3 linked regions of the Drosophila melanogaster genome follow. The protein of the gene in region 1 purifies or fractionates together with the protein of each later gene. This does not show direct contact. Each region holds a gene or a part of one and is shown in the gene's direction. Other genes may lie near its edges. The genes, in order: Arr2, ninaE and dsh.

Evidence for each region.
Region 2: the proteins of Arr2 (region 1) and ninaE fractionate together in Drosophila melanogaster (co-fractionation; 6 studies listed by BioGRID, with this or other methods). This does not show direct contact.
Region 3: the proteins of Arr2 (region 1) and dsh purify together in Drosophila melanogaster (affinity purification with western blotting, with the first as the bait; one study listed by BioGRID). This does not show direct contact.

What each region holds. Positions count from the first base shown.
Region 1 is NT_037436.4:8,645,618-8,652,161, reverse strand, and holds Arr2 (arrestin 2), read left to right. Parts: upstream 1-3,225; 5' UTR 3,226-3,336; coding exon 3,337-4,192; intron 4,193-4,259; coding exon 4,260-4,454; intron 4,455-4,516; coding exon 4,517-4,671; 3' UTR 4,672-4,901; downstream 4,902-6,544. Other genes in the region: Pex7 (peroxin 7), read right to left, coding at 1,446-1,620, 1,703-2,455, 2,524-2,615; CG13305 (uncharacterized protein), read left to right, coding at 5,632-6,413. UniProt on the Drosophila melanogaster protein: Regulates photoreceptor cell deactivation. Arr1 and Arr2 proteins are mediators of rhodopsin inactivation and are essential for the termination of the phototransduction cascade.
Region 2 is NT_033777.3:19,882,895-19,889,829, reverse strand, and holds ninaE (neither inactivation nor afterpotential E), read left to right. Parts: upstream 1-1,623; 5' UTR 1,624-1,799; coding exon 1,800-1,807; intron 1,808-1,870; coding exon 1,871-2,431; intron 2,432-2,606; coding exon 2,607-2,754; intron 2,755-2,812; coding exon 2,813-3,090; intron 3,091-3,158; coding exon 3,159-3,285; 3' UTR 3,286-3,575; downstream 3,576-6,935. Other genes in the region: Ask1 (apoptotic signal-regulating kinase 1), read right to left, coding at 4,099-4,336, 4,402-4,674, 4,735-5,634, 5,975-6,121, 6,185-6,935. UniProt on the Drosophila melanogaster protein: Visual pigments are the light-absorbing molecules that mediate vision. They consist of an apoprotein, opsin, covalently linked to cis-retinal.
Region 3 is NC_004354.4:11,352,244-11,360,201, forward strand, and holds dsh (dishevelled), read left to right. Parts: upstream 1-3,637; 5' UTR 3,638-4,110; coding exon 4,111-5,982; 3' UTR 5,983-6,481; downstream 6,482-7,958. Other genes in the region: CG1737 (uncharacterized protein), read left to right, coding at 1-2,292; Pa1 (PTIP associated 1), read left to right, coding at 7,086-7,294, 7,361-7,520.

The sequences.
Region 1 (6,544 bases):
TGTTGTAGTTTGCGTCGAAATATTCAAATTAACGTTATAAAGCAGTGCATATTAATTTGATATGTATTCGCAAGCAGTGCATGTATGTAGAATGCATGTAAAATAGACAGGTACTGTAAACTACCGATAGGCGGCGCCACATATTTATAGCACAAACCGTTGCAACCATAAATTTAAAATATTTCAAAATTTCTTATGTAATGTAACAACATTATAACATAATAACATAACATAACATGACATGACACAACATAATAACATAATTTATTTTATTCATATTTACACAACTATCATGTTTGATGCTAAGCTTTTTTTACCAAAGAAAAATTCAGCTGCACAAGTTTCGGCACCGAACTTAAAACAAATAATACATACTGGCAAAACACTCCTTCATTAAATAATTATTTAAAATAAAATGAGGTGCCGAATTCCCATCAAGATCTGTCTTCGCCTAAGGATAAATTCAGCACCTCTCAGCTTGGCAGGCTCCGAATAACCGATTTTTATTAACACAAACAAGGCATTAATATCAATTTTGGCATCACTTGACTGGCGAGCAGATAATTACGGGTCAGCAGCTGCTGTTCCCTGGTGTCGAGAATCGAGAGTAAGGTCCTCCTGATCTGCCCCCAATTGTCAGAAGAAATCAGCGCCAATTGGCTTCAAAGCAAATATTTGCCCCGAGTGGCAGTTAAAGCGCAGTCTGTTGATAATGACGGGATCGGGGTGCCAGGATCTGGGATCTGTGATCTGAGTTCGCAGGGAGCAACTGCTGCCATTTCACACCATGCCATGCCGAAAAGGTGCGATGGCTGGCACACCTTTGGGCAATATCCACCTTGTTGGCTGTGTCAATTCCGGGAATGACAGGGATTTCGGCTCCACTCGGGCAATAAAACGTTGCAGCAAATTAGCGCTTTATTGCGTGTTTGTTTGGTCAGAGTTAAGCCAACCGGATAAGGATGCCAAGTCAATCTCCGTCAGCGTCTGGCTGGCTCTTTGCCACCTAACCAATTCGAACTCCAATTCCGTGATCCGTTAAATTCTTGTTAAGACAAGGGCCGAGTGCAAATTATAGCCAGGGGCCAAGAAACTTATTGCGAAGGCCATAATAACATACAGAGCAGCGCAGAAAACCCATATAATTCATATAATACTCGTGATATATGTAAGCTTTTATTGACATTTTGAAGCACCTGCTTGAGGTTTTAGCCCGTTCAGCGTTTATCACACAGCTATTTACACGTCATCGTTGCGCCGATGAGTCCTTGTCTTCGGTTCCTTACAGTTCCTTATAGGCATTGCATATAGCTCAGCTATCGTAATAACGGTGCACCGCTTGTAGGCCTGGCTATTTCGACGCCACTAGCGCCTTATCACATGTGTTTTCGGTATTTAGGGAGTACCAGTTCCAGTTTCCAGTTTTGGGCATGCCCTGTACTAACCTAGACGACCAGATCACCGCTCAGACACTGCGGGGTATAAACGTTGGCCAACGAGTCCCAGCCACAGTCGGCCAACTGATGGGTCCTGTGGGGATTCCAATCCAATCCGCACACGAACTCCGTGTGCCGCGCATTGACCTCCTGGGCGGACTCACCACGCTCCAGATTCCAAATCCTAAAAAGGTGACAAAAGTGGACAGTTGTTACTAACCATAAAAATGTCCTGTTTTTTGAAAGCCTAAGATCATTCCACTTACCTTGTGGTAAAATCATAATTGGCCGATGCCAAGACCGCTGCCGAGTGCGGTGAACAGGCCAATCGCCGGACAGCGAATTCTCCAGAGTACAGCTCAAAGACGTGCGTCCTCATCTTGCGCAGATCCCAGCCGCGGATCAGACCGTCCGAACCTCCAGTGACCAGGACATTGCGATCGAAGTGCGACCAGTCGCAGCATAGTGCCTCACTCGCATGCGCCTCGATGCTCATCAGGGGTTTACCTGCAAAGTCAAGAGAGTTCCATAAGTTAAGATGTCCATCGGTACTTACGCTTGCAAACAGATTGGCGATCAGGGGCGAGAACTTGGCCCCGTAGATCAGATCGTTGTGGCCCACAAATGTGGTGATGGAGTTCTGTCTGTTGCAGTCCCACAATTTCAGTGTACAATCCCAGCTGCCCGAGAGCAGCGTGTGGTAGTTCCACTTCTCGCCCCAGTCCAGGCTGTACACCTCGTTCTTGTGCTCCTGCAGGCAGATCAGCGGCTGTTTCGGCGTCAGCTGGTTGCTCGCCGATTCGCCATCCAATCCGCACCAGATCTGAAGCGATCCATCTCCGGAGGCAGTGGCGGCGATATCGGCGGCATACGGACACCAGGCGACGTCGAACAATCCATCGGACCACTCTAGGCGGCACAGCTCTCCGAGACTCTGGCCATCTGTGGATGAGGAATTTGTGTTGGAGTTCTGTTCCAGCAGAAAGAGGGAACCACCTCCAGCAAGACCGTACAGTTGGCTGGGTATCGAAAAAAAATGGTTTTCTATTAGTATATTGTTGGTTTTAGAGCTTAAGATTGATCTCACCTTGTAGCTAGCAGCAAGTAGTTAGCCTCGAAAGGCGAAAAGCGCAGGCTATAGCCATGTCGGTCTGTGGTGGTGTGTGTCTGTGTCTGCATCTTGGTTCTAGATCTCAACTGCAAAGAAAAAAAAAGGAGAGATTCAAAATAATACCAATTTCTCTGGACCTTAAATATTATCTAACATTAACTACAATGAATTGCGACCTTTGGTAAGCTAGTTGTAAGAAATGCCAATTTCAATTATACCTCTCACATTAAAATCAATATATCGACGTTTGATACATAACAAAATTAAAAACATCTAAGGTTTCTCCTTGCTGCCCACTGATGTTTGGCTAAGAGAGAACAAAACTGGCCGATTGATAACAACCCGGTAACACCAAATCGGATGCTAATCCAGCTCCAACCTACCATGCTCAATTATTCAACAGTTGGCCAAATGACCTCGTACTAGGTCGGAAAATCGGAAAAAGATACTTGACATTAGCCAATTTGCTCGGGCAAGTGGCAAACTGCGCAGAAAATAGAACAACCCCTGGAAGCAGCTTGTTTGCAGTTTTCCCTTAGTTCCTATGGTTCTATCTTATTGTCGTGTTGGACAAGCCAACAAACAAGTGCATAACGAGCAAATCCAGTTAGTGGCCAGAATGAAGACCCACGGACAGGGCCAGGGCAAAGGTATATAAGCAGGTTGTACGGCACTTGGGTTTCGCATTTTCCTCCGCCGAACGGAAAACTCTATAACGCGCATCGCCCGACTTAGCCTCGAATTGCCCAGTTGCATTTGCCAGGAATCAAAGAAATCCACTAATCCACAATGGTTGTATCCGTGAAGGTCTTTAAGAAGGCCACGCCCAACGGCAAGGTCACCTTTTATCTGGGACGCCGCGACTTCATCGACCACATCGACTACTGTGATCCCGTCGATGGAGTGATTGTGGTGGAACCGGACTATCTAAAGAACAGGAAAGTCTTTGGCCAACTGGCCACCACCTATCGCTATGGTCGCGAGGAGGACGAGGTCATGGGAGTGAAGTTCTCCAAGGAGCTTATCCTGTGCCGGGAGCAAATTGTGCCCATGACCAATCCCAACATGGAGATGACACCGATGCAGGAGAAGCTGGTCCGCAAACTGGGCAGCAACGCCTATCCGTTCACCTTCCACTTCCCGCCCAATTCGCCCAGCTCCGTTACTCTGCAGCAGGAGGGCGACGACAATGGCAAGCCCCTGGGCGTCGAGTACACCATCCGGGCATTTGTGGGCGACTCCGAGGACGATCGCCAGCACAAGCGGAGCATGGTCAGTCTGGTGATCAAGAAGCTGCAGTACGCTCCCCTCAATCGTGGCCAGCGTCTGCCCAGCTCGCTGGTCAGCAAGGGATTCACCTTCTCGAATGGCAAGATCAGTCTGGAGGTTACGCTGGACAGGGAGATCTACTATCATGGCGAGAAGACGGCTGCCACCGTCCAGGTGTCGAACAACTCCAAGAAGTCCGTGAAGAGCATCAAGTGCTTCATTGTGCAGCACACTGAGATCACCATGGTGAACGCCCAGTTCAGCAAGCATGTGGCCCAGCTGGAGACCAAGGAGGGCTGCCCCATCACTCCGGGCGCCAATCTCACCAAGACCTTCTACTTGATTCCGCTGGCGGCTAACAACAAGGATCGCCATGGTAGGATTTGGATGTGATAGTTGTGATTCTGGATAGTTTCTAATGGATTATTTAATTGTGAACTCAGGTATCGCCCTGGATGGTCACTTGAAGGACGAGGATGTCAACCTGGCTTCATCCACCATGGTGCAGGAGGGCAAGTCCACGGGAGATGCCTGTGGTATTGTCATCTCGTACTCGGTGCGCATTAAGCTCAACTGCGGCACTCTGGGAGGTGAAATGCAGACGGATGTGCCCTTCAAGCTACTCCAACCGGCACCTGGTAAGCTTTAGAAGATTACTTGAACTTGACTTCTAGTTTGTAATTCCTTTGATGTGGTATAGGAACCATTGAGAAGAAGCGCTCGAATGCCATGAAGAAAATGAAGTCCATCGAGCAGCACCGCAATGTGAAGGGCTATTACCAGGATGATGACGATAATATTGTATTCGAGGACTTCGCCAAGATGCGCATGAACAATGTGAACATGGCGGACTAGGCCACCGATCTTCAATCTCTTCTAGCTCTGTTGTGAACCGAATTGAACTAAATCGAAAGCACTGAAAATTTGTTGCAGCAGTCTCTCGTGGAGGCCACAATCTTTGTATTATAATCGTATCTATAATGTAACTTTGGTGGATCTGGAGTTTGTACCCGTACATATGCATGTTGATGAGTTGAACAGACCTCGTGTCGCTATATTATAAATGTGTTATGGCTATCAAAAGCACTCACCTTTTCTCTCGTTTGCGATGTAGTATCCAAAAGTGATTCGGTAAGGATTCGGTTTTTGGTAGTGGATTGTTCTTGGCGGTGCTGTGGGTTTCAACTTCAGAAGTCGAATGATCTAAACAACTGCGCAGCTCGACGACGAAGGATCTGCTGGCAGGAATTCTAAGGGTGATTTTTCAACGATGACAGGGGGTTGAAAAGCCCAATGCTTATAGGTCACATCGTAGGCTTTCAACCCCTTGCAAGAAGCAACAGGCTGCCAGGATATGTGTTCCACCAATCAGGATCAACCAGAACTGGATATGGCCGGCTCTAACGGTCAACGGAAGTTCCAAGCTCCAGATGTTGACAATGCGTTTGCCAAAATACACAATTTTTGTGTATGCTAAATAGCCCAAGCTTTTGACCTTGATGATGGCTAAGGCCGCCAGCTGCCAGCAGTTTGATTCTAGGTCTCATCCCCGTCAGTCTAGCTGATTTTCCTCTTTTTTTTGGTTTTTTCTATTTTACAATTTTCTCGCATTTTATTTGCCATATCTTATATAAGCCCTGCAGCTGACCGTTGGAGCATTGCACAATCCGGGGCAGCAGCGTCGATCGATTTCACACACCGCTGACTGCTGGGCAAGTGACTTCCGGCTTTTGGCCAAGCCCCGAAAAGTGGCCAACTATAAATGGCTATGTTGTTGTCAAAATGCTGCCACAAATTTGACGAGAGTGCAACGCGATGGATCTGCCAATTGGAAAGTTAAACGGACTGCTAAAGATGCAAATATTCCTCCTGCAATTGTTGCTTTTCGTTTCGCCGGCATTGTTGCAGCAGCCACATGTCTTTTACCATCCAAGACAATTGTATTACGATTCACCGCGTCTTCGTCGCTTTGAGTATGGTGCCGCTGCCACGCCCATTGTGGGCGGCTATAGTCCGGCTCCTCCGCCGGCGATTCACTTTCAGCAGCAGACGCCACACTTTCAGCTGATTAACTATCGGCCGAGTTATCAGCCCTTGGGCTTGGATTACCAGCAGCAGCAGTTGCCCGCTCCTGCCGCACCCCCTCCGCCCCTGTATCCGCAGCAGAGTGTCCAGTACCAGCAGCGGACCATCGCTCCACACGCCGATTTGGCCAAATATCGATATGAAGGTAACTATCTGCCAGTGCAACGGGTTTCGCTGCAGCAACCACAACGCCGCGTCGAGGAGCAACACCAGTTGCAGCAACAGCACTTGCAGCAGCAACACTTGCAGCAGCAGCAGCACTTGCAGCAGCAACACTTGCAGCAGCAACAGCAGCCGCAGCAACTCTACAATGTGCCACCGGCTCTTTTTACCAGCGATGTGTTGCATGTGATTCCACCTCGCATTGCCAGATTGCAGGAGCAGCAGCAGCAGCAACCCTCACAGAATGTCCAAACGGAAAGACCCAGGAGGTACGCCAAGGATCTGGACACGGATGTGGCCGAAACCAGAAGTCCAGCTGACCGAAGTGCCAAGGAAACCAAGTACTTTCAGTAAGTTAATTGGGTTGAAAAATAATTGAAAAGTGGTGGTTGCTCATTATTTTGGAATAGCTCTTAACATGCACTTCATGCCTAAAATCAATTATCCATTTTTTACACAAATTTATTAACATACATATTCA
Region 2 (6,935 bases), on another chromosome or scaffold:
ATAATATTATATTATAAGCATATTATATTATACTTACTTATACTTTACTTACTTATTAAATTCGTGAAATATACAGAGCATACTTTCAGGTACATACACCCCGAACTCAAATCTTTATCGTTATCAATACACGATCAACATAAATGTATTATTGTCGTATTAAATATTACAGAGAAGGGCATTCAAAGTGCCGGGTAAGTTTGGTTCTGCCTCTCTAGTTTCAAATTTGCCCGCCTCATTGAGCAGGAAAACAACAAATTCCCCAACAATAACAACGTCTACGGATCGCAGCGTTTATCTCGCTTATTTGCTAATGCTAAATGATCGTCTTCTTCCCCGCCTTCGGCGGCCTTCTTCCACTTCACATCGCAATGTTTGTTGCAAGTTGGCTTGTCCATATGTCTCTGTTGTTGCTATACCCATTTCGTTACTTGGCTTTTATGTTTGGGCCATCTAGCAGGTGGGCGGGGGACTTTTGTTGTTTAGCGAAACCCGAAAATGCCGAATAAATTGAAATGCGATTCATGGTTTATACCCAGATTATTTGTATATATGCATACACAGAACTGTAGGTAAATACGTAAGTATGGGAACCGCAAGTGCGGCTAACGATGACGCCAATATAATGATCATGATGATCAAATTGATGGTAATGATAATGGCGATATGAGCGCAGCTTCCGGTTTTGCGCCTCGGTATTTTTGTTAGTTTTTTGCGCTGGCTAACTTTATATGAATATTTATTACCTGCGCTTTTTTTGTATTGTTTTGCGGTGTGTAATTGATTTAAACCGAAAGATCTGCCGACATGTGTCGACTGTCACACCAGCTGACAGTTATTTCGGTTTAGTTCCATATTTGGGTTGGGCGCAAAGCGTGGCATCCCATTTGGCCATTTGGATTAGCCTAAAACTTGACCCAATTCAAGCTGATGTGTTGAGCCATCGCACAAAGGCGAACAAAAGGCTTTTATGCCAAAGCTGGACTGACAAAATAAAATCCAAGCTGCCCACACCAAAAAGAAAAGAAACAAAACATGTTCGGAAAATTCAATGGAGGTGCGAAAAGATCAATCAGCACAAAAAATCCATAAGCGGCTTAGCGTCTGGGGTGTTCATATTCTTAATTTAAATAGATTATTTTACTACTTCCAAAAGCTGGCATTCTTTTTAAGATAATCCAAGATTAGCAGAGCCCTCAAGATGTGCGTTCATCGGCGCACACACTGCGTATACTTGATTGCGCATACGCACTGGTGTCGCAGGCGAACGATACTGATATTTCTTCTGCTACGATATGTTTTCATAATATTCTTCAAATTTGTCTAGGCATTGACACATTAAATCGCTGACTTTCGCCATTGCTTTCTGCACAATCTGGAGACTCAAGAATAATACTCGGCCAGAACCCCCAGTGGAAACCCTTGAAATGCCTTTAACTATTGACATTGGCCCATTGCGATGTGCGCTTGCTTTCGTTATGGATATTATGATTATAAGCCAAAAGCTGTCGACACTTTCCTCTGCACATTGCAGACATATTTTTAGGCTGGCCTAATTGAATTTCAAGAGCAGGGGTTACACGAGCACCGCGAAAACTATAAAAGCCATGCGGCAGAATGCAGACATTGCAGGTTTCCAACGACCAATCGCCGCGACTAGTCCGCCCCAGTGAAATATTCAGAATCCAGGAACCCTTTATGTAAAAAGTGTTAGAAATATTGTTAGTGAATTTGCAGCTTTTTATGTAGACAGTGTGATATAGGCGGGATATAGTGACGCAGCCAGTAACCAAAACACAATGGAGAGGTACGATCGGTGGATCCACTGGATGTTCTGGTTAGCAATTTAACATTTGCTTCGGTGTTGCAGCTTTGCAGTAGCAGCCGCGCAACTGGGGCCACACTTTGCCCCCCTGTCCAATGGATCGGTGGTGGACAAGGTCACGCCCGACATGGCCCACCTGATCAGCCCGTACTGGAACCAGTTCCCCGCCATGGACCCCATTTGGGCCAAGATCCTGACCGCCTACATGATCATGATCGGCATGATTTCCTGGTGCGGAAATGGCGTGGTGATCTACATATTCGCCACCACCAAATCACTGCGCACGCCCGCTAACCTGCTGGTCATCAACCTGGCCATCTCCGACTTTGGCATCATGATCACAAACACGCCCATGATGGGCATAAATCTGTATTTCGAGACCTGGGTGCTCGGACCCATGATGTGCGACATATACGCCGGACTGGGCTCGGCCTTTGGCTGCAGCTCCATCTGGTCCATGTGCATGATCTCCCTGGATCGCTACCAAGTGATCGTCAAGGGCATGGCCGGCCGGCCGATGACCATTCCGCTGGCCCTGGGCAAGATTGCCTACATCTGGTTCATGTCGAGCATTTGGTGCCTGGCGCCCGCCTTCGGCTGGAGCAGGTGAGTCCTTGAAATGGTAAACCTTCTGGGAACCCATTTTTTAAAAAATGATCAAAGCTACTATATACAAATGTTTAAAAACTTAAATTACAAACAAAAGGTTTACAAATTACAATTGTATTAATATTATTACCACCTAACATTATCCTATAAATATATATTCTTAATCTAAAAGGTATGTGCCGGAGGGTAACCTGACCTCGTGCGGTATTGACTACTTGGAACGCGACTGGAACCCACGCTCATACCTGATCTTCTACTCCATCTTCGTGTACTATATTCCGCTGTTCCTGATCTGCTACTCTTACTGGTTCATCATTGCTGTAAGTGGCGACGAGACTCGCATATCCCAGTCGCTTAACCCGATATATCCTCCCACAGGCTGTCTCCGCCCACGAGAAGGCCATGCGCGAGCAGGCCAAGAAGATGAATGTCAAGTCCCTCCGCTCCTCTGAGGATGCCGAGAAGAGCGCCGAGGGCAAGCTGGCCAAGGTGGCTCTGGTCACCATCACGCTGTGGTTCATGGCGTGGACACCATACCTGGTCATCAACTGCATGGGACTGTTCAAGTTCGAGGGCCTTACACCACTGAATACCATTTGGGGAGCTTGCTTCGCCAAATCGGCCGCCTGCTACAATCCAATTGTATACGGCATCAGGTTGGTTATGGGCTATGAAACGTATATACCTTAATATTTAACCAATTTTTTATTTTCATTCCGTATAGCCATCCGAAATATCGCCTGGCCCTCAAGGAGAAGTGTCCTTGCTGCGTCTTTGGCAAGGTCGACGATGGCAAATCGAGCGATGCCCAATCGCAGGCCACCGCCAGCGAGGCCGAGTCCAAGGCATAAATTCTTTGGCGCAACAACCAGAACAGCAACAACAACAACAAGAACATCTAACTACTTACAACAGCAACAACAACAGCAACAAAAACAACAGCAAGAACAACTGCAGCAACAGAACGAAACGCTTTCGAATAACATCAAAAACTTCAACAATAATGAAAAAATTATGCAACTTTCTTACATAACAAAAAGCAATGTAAACTCAGTTATTAAATTTCCTGCAATGTCAGTTAAGGACAAAAAAAAACTCAACAAAAAAAATAAATGCAAACGAACTAGAAAAGTTATAAATTAAAATGAGCCTTTTCAAAACATAGTATATCTAACAAAAGCAGCTTTTAGCGTGGAAAAACCCTAATGACGAACCTACAAAAGTTCGGATATCAACTTTCGGTTATCTTTCGCCTTTAAAGTTTGGAGAACCACAACAAATTTGAGTTTATTCATTCTTATATGTATAATAGTCTTCTTCAGAAGCTATAAATCCTTTCCAGTTAACAAGAAATACCCCTTTTTTGCAAAGCACTTCACAATATATTATCTATTTCAGTTTTTGTTTTCTTTTTTTTTTAAATTAAAGGCACTTATGTAAATTCCATTTTTATAAGTTAACATGCAATCGTTAAAACTGGACACACAGACAACGCCTTTTCGAACTCAAAGTTGAAAAGACATGAGTCAGCATGGGAGAACTTAACCCAGGGCTGCTGGAGACTCATTGAGCTGAGCCTCGCAGCGGTTAGTAGCACATGGAGAACATTAACAATTAATCAGTAGTATCTGTAAAGGCACAACTCAGAAAGCTTTCAACTCCAGTCACTCGCTGCACGAATCGTACTCGCTTTCGCTTTTCTTGATTTTCGTTTTGATGCCCGGCGTTCCGGGAGTTGTGGTTGTGGGTGATGGTAGCGTATTGTTGTTGTCAATAAGCGCAAAAGAGCTATTGCCTCCAATGGGTTTGTGGTAAGTGCTTGGTGGACTGTCCACACAATCGGACGAGGTGCACACACGTTCTTGTATAATGAGTTTCCACAAACGCACTTCGATGCCAACGCTGCAAAATACCAAAAGTTAGTTGAGCATGGATTAAGTGTACTTTTCTTATAAGCTTTAACGCACCGCAGACCCAGCCTCATGAGGTCCAGCTTTTCCATGTTATAGATAAAGTCGTCAAATGTAAAACCTTCATTCAGGATGAGCGTCTTTGAGAACTCGTCTATTTCCTGCTGGGTCAACCACTGCTCCAACTGCTCGTCTACTTCGTGAAGACCAAAGTGATGCTTGTTTAGCTGCCTCCGGGGATTGCCCGCTATATTCGGACGGACTCCGGACGTTCCGCCCACACTGGTACTCATTCTATGGCACTTTTTGTTAAAGCCGTTTATTGTGCGTCTGTTAAGATGAAATTGTGAATTATAATAAAATTTACAATGTCCTACTTGGTTTACCAACCTTAATCTCTTTCTGCCGCCCATGTAAATGTGAGCCAGCTCCTGACTGATATTATGCAGGGCCCTCATGCTCTGCCGCTGCTGCTCAAGGAGCTGGCGTTGCAGCTTCTGCTGATTGTCACGGATGTCTCTCAGGATGCGCGCGCACTCCATCGAACTGGACAGAGCATCCCCGCCCGATTCCGCAGGCGTTAATCCCACACCTTCGCGAGTGTTGCTCGTGGGAAGAACTTTTTCCAGGCTCTGCTTTTCCTGGCTCTCGGTGGAACCCTTCTGCATTAGACTTGTACGCAAGCTCTCATCATCATTTCCAGACAGGTCTTTGTCCGCCAGATTGGCGCCCAGTTCAGGAGAGAAAATAGTGACCGCCGCCTGGACGGCCCGCTTAACCAGATTATCCAATGCGAACATCCAATGGGGTTTGATGCAATGGTACCGCAGTACGCAGACCACGGCGTCCTGAAAGGAGTACAGCGCCAAATGAAGATGGTCCAGAGCAACTGCGTCGTTGTTCAGCTTTTGTTTCAGTTCGTTGATAGTCGCTTCCAAATGCTTTTCGTTTTCGTTCATAATGTAGTCCCGCAGTCCTCGGATTAGAACCTCCAAATCGCTTTTCCTAATCGCAATCGAGTTCTGATCAGCGTCGACCTTCTTCAGCCAAATATCGCAGATCTTGGATTCGTCTAGTGCCAGCACCTTGGAAAGCGTTGTCCGCCTCTGCGAATCCTTTTTAAGCCTGTAAAAACCGTCAGTCTCGCTCGTCTCACTAATGCTCGTACGCAAGGACGGCGTGGAAGGTTCAATCTCTGGCGAGAGCAAAAATCCATGGGAATTTCGCCGTTCAAGCATAAACTGGTTGCTGGGCAGCTCGTCAATGTCCACCGAGGATGAATGCGTTATGCTGAAATAGGAAACAGAAAGTACAATATAAAATTACGTTTATTTTACAATACATCAAGTGCTATCTCTTCTCAGTATCAAAATCCGAGTGCGCATTTTCCAATCATTAAATATGCACTTTACTGATAGCAACAATCAATGTGTTAACTACACGATAAGCAAAGGCACTTGTTACTCTTATAATAGTAGACGATATGGGAAAATATAGAGAAGCACGGAAAAATTTTTATATTCATTAAAATTAGCAAAATATAAATGATAATTTTCAACAGATAAGATAACCTCTGCTTGTAATTGAGGAAGGTCGAACATGATAAGAATAGTCGCAGCGTTTAACTTACTCCAATTCCGGCGTTGTGGGCGTATTGCAGGTTGTGTTGTAGCTCAGCGGCGGTGTGGTTTTGTGCACAAACCGATCAGCCGGCACCGAAATGCTGCGTCCGAACTCAGTATTGATGGGCAGGGCTGGGCGCACCTTGCGGGGTTTACTTATTGAGAAAATTAAAAGTGCAATTAGAAAGGAATTAGGCAAAACAATTAAGCAAACTCACTCTTGTAGGAAGGGATCTTCCAGAAGTTGCGAGGCGGAGGGTCGGTCCATCACGCTGATGGCAAAGCAACGCAAAATAAAGTTCTTTGCGTTGGCGGACAGCTCCTCGGGTATGTTCGGATGCTTCTTGTAAAAGCCCACCTTGAACATGGCCGCATGGGCGCTACCCAGCTCGATAAACGGTGGTTTGCCCGTAGCCATCTCAACGTTTGTGCATCCAAAGGACCAGATGTCAGCCGCCGGGCCATAGCCGCGTACTCCCTGGTCAATCACCTCCGGCGCCATGTACTGCAAGGTGCCCGTAAAGGTCTCCGTCATCGGGTTGATGCGGGCCAGCCGCTTGGAGGTGCCGAAATCGGAGATCTTAACCACGCCGCTATACGTGTTAACCAGCACGTTGTCACCCTTTATATCGCGATGAACAATGTCCTGCTCGTGAAGGTACTTCAGCCCCTCGAGGATCTGCTTGGAGTAGAAGGCCATGGTGGACTCGTTGTCCTTGAGCGGACCCCATTTGGTCTCTAAGAGGTCGGAAAGCGATCCTCCCGGCACCTGCTCCATGAAGATCTTGAAGAAGCCGTTCTCCGAGCACGATCCCAAATAGCGAACTATGTTGCGATGTCGCAGCTGAGAGTGTAACTTAATCTCCTCGTGCAGTGGCTGCACATCCTGCGAGTTCTTTTCCGGCACCTCCTTAATGGCGATTCGCACCTGCGTCTGCTTGTCCCTGGCGGCGTACACGGTGCCATAAG
Region 3 (7,958 bases), on another chromosome or scaffold:
AAGTATGTCAGCGAGGATATAGTGACGCCAAAGTACTTGGCCGCCCTGGCCGATGGCGGTGGCCAGTCCATCGGCACGAACGACAGACGCTTGGTCCGCCTGCCGCGAGATGAAATCAGCGATATGCTGGAATTCGAAGAGGACGATGATGACGAAGTGGCGGACGCCGCCTTCAATCCGCAACTGCACAAGTCCGACGATGACGACGACGACGATATAAGCGAGGCCGAGTACGAGCAGGAGCTGCGACGCAAACAGCCGCCCGTCAAGCGTGGACGTGGACGTCCACCGAAGGCGAAAAATGTCAATGCCAATGCCAGCGCGACCAGCGCTGGCAATCTGACTTCCAGCAGCGGCGCCACATCCAAGATATCCATAAATTCGAGCAGCGGCCGCACGGCGTCCACTAGCCTGCAGCAGATGCGTCGCACAATGGCCACGAATATGGCCAAAAGCAATGCCAGCATGACAGACGGATCGAGCACGGGCAAGGGCACTGCGTCCGCCGCGGCCAAACGCAAAATGGACACTAGCGAAAGCGAGAGTCCTGTGCCACGCAAGCGCATAATCATTTCGGGCGGCTCCCAGCAGCGCAGCGGACCGCCTGTGGTGAATGGTGCCAACAGCAAGATGAGCGCGCAGAGAGCGATCACGGCGCGACCGAAGGTGGGCCAGGCGGGCAGTGCGTCAGCCAGGATGCTGCCACAGCGACGCGGCAGCAGTAACAAGATAAACTCATTGTCGAACTCCAATTCGAATTCGATTAGATCCACGCCCGCAACGCGCTCAACTGGCGGTGGTGGTGGCGGCGGCAAGGGTGACGCTAGCAATGATGGGAAAAACGATTCCGAATCGGAGGATATGCCCACATTCACCATTGTAAACATCGATGACATTATCAATCAGGACGATGTGCTCATTTCCAGATCACACACTGCTATGGCCGCTTCCGCAGCTGGCGGTAATTCAATCAAAAAGGTCGCTTTGGGCAGGCCCCGTACCAAGAATATCGGAACCGGCAATTCGGTTGCCGGCGATAAGAAATCCATCACTGTTAACAGCACGCAGAAATCCCTGTCCGCTGCTGTTAACCACAACAATACGACGGCGGGGAATCCAGCCAAGCGCATCAAGATCTTGGCCAGCAACAGTAGTGTCAATACCAAAATGGGACCAGTGCATATCCAGAGTCAACTGCCGAAGCCCCGGCCCAGGATACTCAACGCGGAAATGGGCAAGAAGACGCAGTCGATGAAACCGCTGATGAGCATGGGCAAGGAGCTCTGTCCCACGGACGTCGACACCGAAGAGGACGATCCGGATCCAGATCTCGATTTTGATATCGATAATATACCGGTATCTATTGTTACCCGTAAGAATGCCAATGTCAATGCCAATGCCAAGTCCAAGCAGGTGACGACAACGACGTCGGTGGCGGCGTCGGCGGCGATGACGTCCGCTCCAGCAGCGGTAGCGGTTAACAAGTTGAACAACAATCGGCGCAATGTGCTGTCCACGACAGCGTCGTCGGTGAATGCGCTGATTGCGGACCGGAGGCTGAGCAATCTGCTGGCCGATAACGATGTCCAGCCGGTGTTCAAGAAGCCGAGCCTGGTTCCGCAGCGTCGCAGCAAGGAGAACCAGCAGGAGCAGCAGCGCGACAAGGAGCTGACAACGCTGCGCGAAATATTGCCCACCGGCGGTGGCATCGACGATGCCAACAGTCCCAAATATTTTCCGCCCGAGACCACAACGTTTCACGAGGAGGATGGTCGTGTGGTAAAGAAGATCACCTGCTATGAGACGTGGCATGTGGTTAGCACGGCCAAGGATATGTTGTCGAAGATGGCGCGCCAGCAGCGCACCTGCCTGGAGCTGGCGCTGGTCAAGCTGGCCAATGTGGCGTCACGGATAAAGGTGCCATCGGGCAAATGGACCAGCAAGGTGACGCTGTACAAGGTCTCGCCGTCGATGATGCCCCGCCAGACAATGACCATCTTTACGGGCGATCTCAAGGCGTACAACATACCCGAGGAGGACCGTCACAAGTATCAGCCGTCGTGCGTGCTCTTCCGGCGCGTTGTCGTTGACAAGAACACGTGCCGCGTGCCCTACGATCGGGCCGTCATCTTCAAGAACAAATGCTTCTATGCGAACATCGATGGCAAGCATGTGAATCTGTTGGGTGCCCCCGAGACGGTTGCCACCATCAAGGATGTGGAGATCCTGCTGGATATCGTCGATCGCCTCTCGATCAGCAGCAACATTGTCGAGCTGGTCAACGCTAAGTGAGCGTGGAGGCCTGGTCCATGGTGGCCACAGGAAGAGCACGTATCACATTGTAAAAAATAATTCACACACAGCACTCCCCTCCCCATCCCCATCCCCCTCCCCCATACACATACACAAACAAACAAAGCGGACACTCGATAATTCGTTTTATGCTGTAGTTGTAATAAAACAGATACAAGTTTTTTTTTGTAAAACCATTAACTTAGTTGTAATAGCTAGTGTAGCGTAAATTTATATATATTTATATGTATATATATATATGTATGTATATAAATATATATTAATATATATACACGTATATATAATTATATATTTATATATATGAATATATATATATATATATTTATATAAATTTTTATATATATATATCTCGTATATTATAAACAGCGGACGGACATACATAAATACAAACGGCAGATGTATCTATGTAATATAAACTAAACTAAAGAAAACAATTAATTGTAAAATGCTCGCCCAACTCTCGAAGGGATTGCGAAGTTCCGGGCGGTCGAGGTATATCAATAATGATTTTTATTTTAAATGCGTTGGAATACATAGCCCCCCTCCGCCTTCCCCGCGAGTCCCGCCCCCTTCGAAATCCTTTTTTTTTAAATTGCTATTATCGTAGTCGATTCAATAATATAAAACCGGGCGTACATGTGCCTACGCCCGCGTGGAGGACTAGCCAGTAAGTTAGTCGAGTGTATATCTAAGTGATCCCAATTCAAAGCATACAAATAAAAGAGAAAACTGATTTAAATAACGAGCGCCATTGCGTGATAAATGGCGGGCGGGGTTATCTGGAAATCGGGCAGCTATAAATAAACTGCGGCCAACGCTAGAGATTTTCGTGTGAAAAGCGAAAGAAGATAAGGAACGCAGGCTTCAAGTGGATGGATGGATGAGTTTCCTTGGTCAAGTTTCCATGACAAGGATAAAGACTCTACTTTTAAACAGGACACTCTTCAACTATGCTACATCATTATATGGTAAATTAATACAATTAAGAGTTCAATATAGCTGTAGTTTTAGATTCTACATGTTTTATGTAATAGAAATTGCTATTTTGTTAAATTATAATAAATTTATTGTTTTGAATAAGTATTCAAATTAAACGATATTTATCGATAACTTTGGTATTTAATTTTAAAAGTGTTTGAACTACATTCAAATTGTAAAGCAAATATCGTTAGAGAGAGCATTTCCAATAGAAACTAAATACATTGCAGTTTTTAGTAGTTTTCCATACGCTTTTTCAGAATATTCGTTTGAGAAAATGTTAAGAATGTTCGAATTCGAAAGGGTCTGGCATCGCCGGCAGTGTGACCAACTGCCCGGCGCTTTGGCATTCCGTGCGTGACGAGCGGCTAACACACTGTTTTTTTTTAGTCTCAAAATTCTAACAAATTTATTGATAAACTAGCAATATGCTCGTTTCGCCCTGCCCCCGCTGCGTGCACCGACATTAAAGCGCACCAAATCGTGCTAATGGAGCAATATCAACGCCGTGCAAATCGACGAATTAACAGCCGCCGCTTCCATTGAATCGAAATACCCAGCCCAAAAAAAAGAGAAAGAAAAAGTAAAAGAAACGCGTGCGAGAGCGAGAGGGCTAGAGCGACCAGGGGGAGAAAAGCAAAATCGAGTGAATTTTGTTTGTTGTATCGGCTTTTCCCTGGCTTAATCCCGTTTTCCCTGTGATTTTTCCCCACCAACTTCCCACGCCACCTCCCCACCGCATCCATCGCATTTCGTTTTGATCGCGTTTTATCGCGTCGAGGAGTTTTCCCGTGGATTTCCGCAGTCGGCGCAGCTAAAATGGACGCGGACAGGGGCGGCGGGCAGGAGACGAAGGTGATATACCACATCGACGATGAGACGACGCCGTATCTGGTGAAGATCCCCATTCCATCCGCCCAGGTGACGCTGCGCGATTTCAAGCTGGTGCTGAACAAGCAGAACAACAACTACAAGTACTTCTTCAAGTCAATGGACGCCGATTTCGGTGTGGTCAAAGAGGAAATAGCCGACGACTCCACCATACTGCCCTGCTTCAATGGGCGAGTGGTGTCCTGGCTGGTCTCCGCCGATGGTACCAATCAGTCAGATAACTGCTCCGAGCTGCCAACCAGTGAGTGTGAATTGGGCATGGGTCTGACCAACAGGAAGCTACAGCAGCAACAGCAGCAGCATCAGCAGCAGCAACAACAACAGCAGCAGCAGCACCAGCAACAGCAACAACAACAGCAGCAGCAGGTGCAGCCTGTCCAGCTGGCGCAGCAGCAACAGCAGCAGGTGCTCCATCACCAGAAGATGATGGGCAATCCGCTGCTGCAGCCGCCACCGCTCACATATCAATCGGCATCCGTGCTCTCCAGCGATCTGGACTCGACCAGTCTCTTTGGCACCGAATCCGAATTGACGCTGGACCGCGACATGACCGACTATAGCAGCGTTCAGCGATTGCAGGTGCGCAAGAAGCCGCAGAGGCGCAAAAAACGGGCGCCCAGCATGTCGCGCACCTCCTCGTACAGCTCCATAACCGACTCGACCATGTCCCTAAATATCATTACCGTCTCCATCAACATGGAGGCGGTCAACTTTCTGGGCATATCCATTGTCGGGCAATCGAATCGCGGCGGCGACGGCGGCATCTACGTGGGCAGCATCATGAAAGGCGGCGCAGTGGCACTCGATGGACGCATCGAACCGGGCGACATGATCCTCCAAGTGAACGATGTCAACTTCGAGAACATGACCAACGACGAGGCGGTACGTGTGCTGAGAGAAGTCGTTCAGAAGCCGGGACCCATCAAGCTGGTGGTGGCCAAGTGCTGGGACCCAAATCCCAAGGGCTACTTCACCATTCCGCGCACGGAGCCGGTGCGACCCATCGATCCCGGTGCTTGGGTGGCGCACACTCAGGCCCTCACATCGCACGACAGTATTATTGCCGACATTGCGGAGCCGATTAAGGAGCGTCTGGACCAGAATAACCTCGAGGAGATCGTTAAGGCGATGACGAAGCCGGACAGCGGCCTGGAGATCAGGGATCGCATGTGGCTAAAGATAACGATTCCCAATGCATTTATCGGCGCCGATGCGGTCAATTGGGTGCTGGAGAATGTGGAGGATGTTCAGGATAGGCGGGAGGCGCGAAGGATCGTCTCGGCGATGCTGCGCAGCAATTACATCAAGCATACGGTCAATAAGTTGACCTTCTCGGAGCAGTGCTACTACGTGGTGAACGAGGAGCGCAATCCCAATCTGTTGGGCCGAGGACATCTGCATCCGCACCAGCTGCCGCACGGGCATGGCGGCCATGCGCTTAGCCATGCGGACACCGAGAGCATCACCAGCGACATCGGGCCGCTACCGAACCCGCCCATTTATATGCCATATTCGGCCACGTACAATCCAAGTCACGGCTATCAGCCGATCCAGTACGGCATCGCCGAGCGACACATCTCGTCGGGATCGAGTAGCAGCGATGTGCTGACCAGCAAGGATATCTCGGCGTCGCAGAGCGACATCACCTCGGTGATCCATCAGGCCAACCAGCTGACCATCGCCGCTCATGGCTCTAACAAATCATCCGGCTCCTCCAATCGGGGCGGCGGCGGAGGCGGTGGCGGTGGCGGCAACAATACCAACGATCAGGACGTATCCGTATTTAATTACGTATTGTAGAAACCTTTCTTTTTGCAATCAAATTGTGTTTTTAATTAATTAAATTAAATATGTACGATTATTCTTTTTTATATACGAGTATACAAAGCAAGCAAACAGCAAACCACAATATAATAATTATAATTATAATAATAATAATAATAATAATTATAATAATAATAATAATACTTATGTATATGTATGGTATGTGTAAGTCATAGAAAAGAACGCTAAACACCCAGCCGCAACGAGTCAAGGATCAGCGAGGGCTCGTGAGGCAGCAGGAGGATCAGCACAGGGATATCCGTGTCCGGCAGCAATCGGTTGTGGACCCGATCAGATCAGATCAACTGAGATATATGATATATGATATATATATATATATATATATATATATATATATGGATGATGCGGAGCGGAGCGGAGGAGCAGGAACGGCAGCATGACGGGCGAGAATGATTTTGAATAAAGTTCTAAGAATTTAGTAATCACAAAGTAAATAAATACAAATAAAATGAATAATCGATGGCTTTTCCATATGCATGAGATTGGTTTCTTTAACGCATTTTAGCTGTTTTCAAGTGCAAATCAAATTGCCAAGAAGACTTTTAAAATATTCCTAAAACATATTAGCGTTTGTTCGTAATTTGAGGAATATACATTAAAAAGGAAGTCTAATTTTTGTTAGTTCTTATTTCTTTGTACAGATTAACAATATTTAAACACATACTTTCCATCCTAAAAAGTAAAAGTCTCAACAAGATAATATTGTTCTTCCCCCTAAACCAAACAATGCGCCATCGAGAACAATCCTCGAAGTTGTGTGCACTCGGAGCGGAAACATTCCGGGCATGGGTGTGCACTTAATAAAGAAGAGAATAATGAAACCTATAAATAGAAAATCCATTTCGAGCAGCAAATGTGTTCAAATCAACCGCCCAGCTCGGACACTTTGCAACACTAAGCCCGAAAATCGATAGCAACGAACGTTCGATAACTGTTCGATAAGCACGCCAAAGCAAACTATCGCTTTCATTCCAGAAAGGTCGCGAAACCAATAGGTTCTATTGTGGAAAGAAACGCAAATTTCCAGTTCATTTGGATTGTTTAAATCCGAGAAAACGATGGCAACGGATGTGGAGCCGGCGGCGAATACGGCGGACAAGTTCTCCGCCAACGCGGAGGAGCTAGAGGGCTACTATCTGATGCTGGAGGCGGGAAATATTCCGGAACTGCAATGGCAATTTCCGGGACGCAGGGCTCCATCGCCGGAGGCGGGATCTGGCGGCAATAGCAAGGAACTCGAACAGGCCACCGACGCCATTGAGCAGGAGTAAGAACAAGTGCAGCACCATCCGAAGGTTAACATAACTTATGATTGATTTTCGTGTCCCCGCAGACCGCAGAAGGCCAACGACTTTGATTTCAGCGACGATGTGGCCCCCACCCAGATGCGCGTCCGCAGCCAGACGTCCACGCCCAAGTCGGCCAAAAAGAAGACGGCCAACTTCGCCGGCGTCATGGAGACGCTGAAGAAGAAGAATGCCGAGAGCTCATAGCACCCGCCGAAATTCTGATGCTGATCCGGTCCAGGCAATCGGCTGCAGATCGTACTCTATCGCCATGCGGACTAGTCTATAAGCATCAGTCGTTTTACAACCATCGACAGGATGGGCTGTGGAGCTCTGCTGCAAATCGCATTAATGTAAGGATTTAGAGAGAGTTTGAACTTCAATTTACTTAAGATTTAAATTACCATACTTATAGTTAGCATTTAGAGAGTTTGAAGTTTGAACATCAAAACATAAGCTTATTATGACTTATTAGTCAGCATCTAGAGAGGAAGTTTAAACATCAAAACATAGGCATATTATGACTTAATTACCATATTCATGTGACTAGCTTGTAGCTTAAATTGCAGCAGTCTTTGGAATTCTAAAAAACTTTGTGAACCAACAAGTTGCAACTCAGAGAAGTTTGAACTTCAATTACCATAT